2 linked regions of the Medicago truncatula genome follow. Each later gene encodes a partner of the first gene's protein in a complex. Links are inferred from orthologs where the notes say so. Each region holds a gene or a part of one and is shown on either strand. Other genes may lie near its edges.

Evidence for each region.
Region 2: transcription initiation factor TFIID subunit 15 (region 1) and transcription initiation factor TFIID subunit 7 share a complex: the UniProt entries of both Arabidopsis thaliana proteins name them as parts of the TFIID complex. The link is inferred for Medicago truncatula from reciprocal best matches to the Arabidopsis thaliana genes TAF15 and TAF7.

The regions. Positions count from the first base shown.
Region 1 is NC_053045.1:36,236,727-36,240,485, forward strand, and holds the start of transcription initiation factor TFIID subunit 15, read left to right. Parts: upstream 1-889; 5' UTR 890-1,086; intron 1,087-1,666; 5' UTR 1,667-1,715; coding exon 1,716-1,835; intron 1,836-2,191; coding exon 2,192-2,547; intron 2,548-2,652; coding exon 2,653-2,844; intron 2,845-3,759. UniProt on the Arabidopsis thaliana protein: TAFs are components of the transcription factor IID (TFIID) complex that is essential for mediating regulation of RNA polymerase transcription.
Region 2 is NC_053044.1:41,304,608-41,308,077, reverse strand, and holds transcription initiation factor TFIID subunit 7, read right to left. Parts: upstream 2,678-3,470; 5' UTR 2,483-2,677; intron 2,117-2,482; 5' UTR 2,115-2,116; coding exon 1,863-2,114; intron 1,758-1,862; coding exon 1,638-1,757; intron 1,528-1,637; coding exon 1,458-1,527; intron 1,163-1,457; coding exon 1,005-1,162; 3' UTR 600-1,004; downstream 1-599. UniProt on the Arabidopsis thaliana protein: TAFs are components of the transcription factor IID (TFIID) complex that is essential for mediating regulation of RNA polymerase transcription.

The DNA.
Region 1 (3,759 bases):
CTTCTATATCTTCTTTAAGCCTGTGGTGCTACTATTTTGATATTCTTCCACAAAGTATATATATACACTTGTAAGAGACTTCTTTTTTATCTACTTCTATTGAAAAGACTTAAGTGCAAACATTAGTAGATCATCATGGAATGAAATTAAAAATACACAATTAAATAAAATCCAGAATTATGTTCTATACAAAATGTGAATAACATTTTAATGTAAAAATATCAATAGTCCTTATTTTTTTTTTTTGAAATATCAATTCTCTTTATAATTGCTAGGGGAGGACGAGTAAAAATTGGTAGGAGAATGAAAATTTGGTAGGAGAATTCAAAAAGTTAGCTTTTAAAATTTTCATGTTTAACTAGCATAGTTAAATAAAATTCATAAAATACATTTATCATCTTCCATAATTTGAAATATTAAAAAAAAAAAAATCATGTAATCAAATTTTTTTTTATAAAGAAATAAAAATAAACAAATATGTCATTTTATATTTACCAGTCATTTTACCAAACATTTTAATTTTAATAGGCTATATTTTCAGTTACAAGTTATCAGTAATTAACTATAAACTAAATTTTTCCCTTAAAAAAAAAAAAACTATAAACTAAATTTTCAACTATCAACCAGCTTATATCTTATTTTTACCAACACACCATTTTTTATCTCTCTCCGTCATATATTATGGACTATGAACCATTACCAAACTTATTTTCAAACCTTGTTAGCGGATGGTTTAAGCGTGTGTCCATTTCAACGACGTAGCTGCTGTTTTGTTTTTCTCTTTTTTCATGTAATAAAAAAAAAACATGATTCTGAATTTATTATTTATCTGACCTAAGTAAAAGAAATTGCTGAAAGTAACAAAAAAAAAAAAAGAAAAAAAAAAGGAGAATGGCCGTAGGGATAAGCTGTTTGCTATAGGCGAAATAAAAAGGAACGCGAATAAATTAAAACGAAGAGAAATTAGCGAGGAGGGGGATACTGCAGACGGAGCGATAAATCACAGATCTATCTATTCATCGGAGAAGAAGAGAACATAGCAGAGCGCGTGCGTACTTCTCTCCCTCACGCGCTTCTTCGATTCTGGTTAACTCTTCTTTCCCCTCTTCGTTTCTTCATTCCATTTTCCTGTATAAGAATTGAATTGCAGTAATTTCGTTTATTTAATCAAATTATCTTCGTTCCTCTTTCAAATTGCTAGATTACTTCATTTGTTATCTCTTTCATTTCCTATTGCATATTTTGCATTATCGTACAACAATTATTTTTTCAATTTGTCACTTAAACCTATGATATTTGCAGCTTCCGCATTCAATTTTGAACTTATAAAAGTGATATAGATTCGTTTTTCTTATGATTTGCATCCATAGTCTTATTCAATTAGGTTAGCATTTTCATACGGTTTCACAAGTGCTTATGTCAGTTGATAAGCTCAAATAAGTCAGTCCAAACAATTATGTAGTGTTCGCATGCTATTTAGTACAAAATGTCAAATAGCTGTTATAAAGAAGCTATAACATTATCGCATAGCGGAATCTGATTAAATCACTATTTTCCGCGAACCGCAATTGACAATACTGGTGTCAAGTATCTTGCTTCTTTTACAATATTGTATTTAGTTTTTACACTGTTAAAAGAAGTGACGTGCATTTGTTTGTTTTCTCAGAGCTCTGTGCTGGTTCTCATTGCCTTTTATTTCATGATATTGAGATTCGATGGCAAGCATTCCTGGAAAATTTGCTCCTTCTAATGGATCTATCTATGTTTGCAACTTGCCTTATGGGACTGACGATAATATGTTGGCTGAATATTTTGGCACCATTGGAGTAATAAAGGTATGGAGTCTGCAACTATCCTTCGATTCAAAACAATGCTATGTTATTCTCCAATTTTATTTTTCAAGGAAAGGAAATTTTACAGGATTTAGGAATATAACTACCAGAACGTGTTGGTAATGTTTGTGACTTTATTATGGTCAGTTTGGAAATTCATATTTCTATGTAAGATGTGATTACTTGAATGTTTTTTTTGTCTGTCCTTGCAAAGTGAGGTTTATTTGGGATTACTGAATGATTGATTTGTTTTTTTTTTTGTTGCATTTTGATTTCCTATTTATGCGGTTCTGTTTTTCTGTGTTGCGTTCTATTTCCAGATTATCATTCATTTTTCATTCACAATCCATGTTTTGCAGAAAGATAAACGTACAGGGAGACCTAAAATATGGTTATATCATGACAAAGAGACTAATGAACCAAAGGGAGATGCTACTGTGACATATGAGGATCCACATGCTGCCGTGGCTGCTGTTGAGTGGTTTAACAACAAAGATTTTCATGGCAATACAATTGGAGTTTATATAGCGGAGTCAAAAAACAAGGATGACCAAACATATACTGCAATAGCAGAACCGGTTGTTGCGGGTACTGATGTCGGACCAGAGGAAACTGAAAGTGATGTCGATGGTGTTAATGGAAGAGGCAGAGGTCAAATTGATGCTTCCAGCAAACCATGGCAACAAGAGGGCGATTGGATGTGTCCGAATACAAGGTCTGTGATATGAGATCGGTGAGCAGCTCTTTCTTGCTCTTTTACACATTGTTTCAGTCATAGTTTTTTGCAGAAAGAATAACACTTTTTTTTTTGTCATAGCAGTTGCTCGAATGTGAATTTTGCTTTTCGGGGTGCGTGTAATCGCTGTGGAAGTGCACGCCCTGCTGGTGCTTCTGGCGTTGCAGGAGGAGGTGGCCGTGGCAGGGGACGTTCTGGGCCAGATGCAGGGGGTATTGGCCGTCCAGCTGGTGCAACTGCAGGACTATTTGGTCCCAATGACTGGCCTTGTCCAATGTACGATTTTGTCACATTATCCATCCCCACATTCTTTCCGTGTGTCTGATTTATTTATACTTGTTTTTTATTTTATATTTTGTTTCTCAATTCTAATTCACTATTTTAGCGATAACAATTAACACATATATATTTCTTATTAAATTTGATAAACACGTTGCCCAGTTTCATCAATTGGGTTACTCATTACTTGTTGTGTTGTATTATGTTGGACGTAGTGCTGGCGAACAGTTAAGCCACAAGTAAATTGAATATGATAGTGAGATATATGTTTGTATATGTATAATACACAAAGACAACATACTCTTGTGAATGAACATGGCTCAGAGAAGAGTTAATGATACCTGTTTTCTTTAATTGATACCTCCTGATTTTGCACTTTGCAACGTTGGCTGCATGAGATTTGTTAACTTTGATAAGGAAATTTTATAAACTAGCCAAATTGCGTTCCCTTTTGCATTGAGTATTAATTTTGGCACATCCCGACCCAATCTATCATTTTATCATCTACTATTCTAGTTCTCTATGAATTTTAAAGGAAGCAATCATCATGTGAGAGGTTGATTGAGTGCAAATCTAGTGGCCTTTCCAATTTATATAAGGTCAACTGATTCTGTTACAATTTACAGCCAATAAGTGTTTATAGGCTGTTGATAATATGATGATGACGTTGAGGTGAGCTTTGTAACTTCTTTGACTTTGTTGTTAACCTCTCCCCGGGTTCTGGTTCTTGTCCTCATCTACTGAACTTCTCTTTCCTCTGTCTCTTTTGTCCTTGTGGGTTGTGACAGGGTTCCAGTTGTTGTAGCAAATTTAGGACTAAGATTGTACACTGTTGGAACTTGGGAGTGTAGTGCAAGTTGGCTATATGATATGGGGCTTATGGTCAGTTATATTATCACTAGTTTTTATTCA
Region 2 (3,470 bases), on another chromosome or scaffold:
AAGTTGCCTCTTCGGCGATGGTTGCTTTGATTAATTCGGAGATTGCTCCATCCTCTCCTCTCCAATTCATTCTAGATGAAGTTCTGACGTCTAGATTGGGATCATTCGGTGTATCTTGTCAACCGCAAGTTTAATAAATGTGTTGATTTTATTACTTCGTCGAGACATAATTCCTCTTTTATTTATGTATTGTTGATAATTCCTCCATGTGTAGCCACTAAACTTCTAATTTAGTTGTGAAGTAGATAATTTATGTTTTTAGGCCTCACTTGAACATTGTCATTTCAAAGTTTGGTTTAATGTTTTCATTATATTGAAGTACCGTTGATCCTTTGAATTTTAGTGCTTCATACCAATTATTATTGGAAACCTTCAACACTAAACTATAAACTTCAACGTAACTTTTAATAGTATCTAAAACATACAATAACCCAGTAAATAAACTCATTTATCAAACACCTGTTTTAGCCAAACATGTTTACAAACTAATCAAATACAATATAAGCCAACAGATGATAAATACTAAACATAACTTAAATCGAGTATGACGCATTTGCTTTGTACAATGACACGGTGACAGAACATTAAAACGCAATAGCTTAAAAAACAAATGGTTAATCTTATTCTCATATATATGCTGGGTAAATTAGGACCTTAAAGGCAGTTGCACAATAAAAAATGGTGTTAAAATACAACAAATGATGTACCAAAATGCACAATGTGGGATAACAAATCAATTGCAGCCCATCTTATTCCTCTAAACGGGATTCAAATTCAACAGCACATGATTATACATAGTGAATGCCAACAAAACACCTTTCTGATACTCTTTTATGATTGATTCATTTCTAAAAAGGTGGGTATATTTTTCAAAAGTGAGACAACCAAATCAACTATTAAAAAAAAAAAAGTCTAAATCATAAAGAGTGTTCAAGAACATGTCAAGAAAGGTGTTGCAAGCATTCATCTGATATAAATGCTCCTTGGTAGCTAGCTAATATCGGTTAAACTGAGTCATCAGAGTCATCAGAGTCACTCCTGTCAGCATCCCCAGCGTTTGTATGAGTCTCTGGAACATCATTCTTTGATGCGGATGTAGCTGCAGGTTTTTTATTAGCACCTCGAGCATTCTCACCACCTTCTTGCTCAGCTACTTCCACATGTGAATCTCAGTCAAGAAAATAGCCAAAGGTTGTTTACAATTAACAATATAATGAAAGCAAAACACTTGCTTTTGTCATTGATGCAAATGCAAATGCAAATAGATACTACAAGCTATGCCATGAACCCCAGGTCAGATAGAGAAATGAGTTATCAGGGCAAAGAAAGTAATCGACAAAAAAATCTCAACAGACCTCCATTTCAAAGAATTTTTTTAAAGTGAAATCGTAAATTTGAATCTAAGACTTAGAATGTTTACTAAACAACTGCTTAAAACAAACAAGATGAAAGGATATCAATATTTTCAGCCGTTCCTCCAGCAATGATTTTGAGAAGATCTTTCTCAACACGAGAGACAAGCTCAGGCTGGAAAACGAAGAATGAAAACACATGGTAAGTAAGGGACACACAAACGCACAGATAATAGAGCGGCATCAGGTATGCTAAGATAATGCAAGCACATATGAATATGTTACATTAAGGTCAGGCTCTCTGCGGAATCTACGCTTACGGGCATCTCTCATGGGAGGGGTGAGACCATGTCGATACTCAATTACATCTGGAGCAGCATCACCAGATTCCCTCACCATAATCATCTGTTAATTGAATTCATTAAGAAGGCAATCAGTTATTTAATCATCCAAATCTAGGAGTATGATTAAGAATAAACAAATAATATGAATTAACGATAGATACCTGACCTGACCAATATCAGCAGTCTTAACCAAAGAGTTATCATCATAAGTCTTGTAAGATTCAACGACAGCAGGAAGGTCCAGCAGAGAAGCTGGGAAATGCTCATCCCCAATCACAAACGTTCCGCTTCTTCCATCATCGCTAAATTGCAAATCTAGCGACTTGTCTTCAGATGAAGAAGCATTGTTTTCATTCAAAAGACGCTCAATCCGCTCCGCAACATTAGGTGGAACTCTAAGTATGAATTGCTCCTCCATATCTAATTCCATCAGGTTGTTTTTAGAATCATTACAAATAGTAAATAATAATATAATCAAATTGAATTGAATTGAAGAATCGGGCATTGCAATTGATTGGTTTCATAACTGCATCAGTATATACCAATAATCAATGATAATCAGCATTCATGAGACAATTCCAATGGATTTTCAAATGAAATTTCACAAACAATAAAAGATCAAAATTGATTGGAAAAACAAAAACAACAAAAAAAAAAGGATTTTTATTACGAGCACGATATCGTGAAGTCTTTAATCAGTGATTTTATCTTGAACTGAGGCCCATGGATTTTTAAAATTGATTTATTACGAGCATGATTACATTGAATGTTTCCGAAATAACTTACAAAAATCAAAAATTGATTGAGGGCTTTCGAAGAAGAGATGATAAGAAACAATTTGATCGGTTCAATTTTGGAAGATGAGGTCTGTGGCAGCCGGAATTCGAAAGTGACGATGGCGCTAGGGTTTTCGGATTGGAAGGATTTGCGAGAGAAGAGAGAGAAAAAGATGAAGCAAATGAAGGGGATTGAAGAAAACACGTGGCTTTGGTTTGGGTCAGATTCATCATTCATCCAACGGATGCTATTGTTGTCTTCTCTAGGATGAGCTTATAACCGTTGGATCTAAGTTTAAAGGAAAAAGTAACAATTAAGGGTATTTTTGTTAGCTAATTTTCCCAAAAAATAATTTAGAGATTATTTTATAAAGATATTATGAAAAAACAGAATCAATTTGTTTGTTTTTTTTAATAATTCAGTTTATTTGGATATAGCAGTGTATAAAAGAGAGTTTACAGTTTTGTTTTTTTTTTTGCAAGAACCTTGTAAATAAGGATTTTTTTACGTTATACCTCAATGAATTGGAGGTAATTTATCCCTTTTAAAGAAAAATCTTTTTTATTTTTTTTTCGATCAAGATATTTTTATATCTAGAACATCAATGATATTTTTACTTTTTTTTTTTTTTTAAAGAAGTTAAATTAATCCACCTAAATTAACACTGGAGATAATTGTTGCAAAGGGTGAAAGGAAACATTGAAGAGTGAAGGAAGATGAGGGCTTCATTGAGATTTACCGGAAGAAAAAAAAAAAAAAAAAAAGACCGGTTCAAACTACGGAAGTGATCATCGAAAAGATATCAGAAAAACGAACGTCCTATTTCTCTTTAATTTGAGTTATTTATTTTGGGGTTAAATATGTTTTTGGTCCCTATAAATATACCAACTTTTCGTTTTAGTCCCTTTAAAATTTTCCTTCAACTTTTAGTCCCTATAAAATTTTCAATCACTACTTTTGGTCCATCTTTTAAAGTAAACTCATATGTAGAATTCAT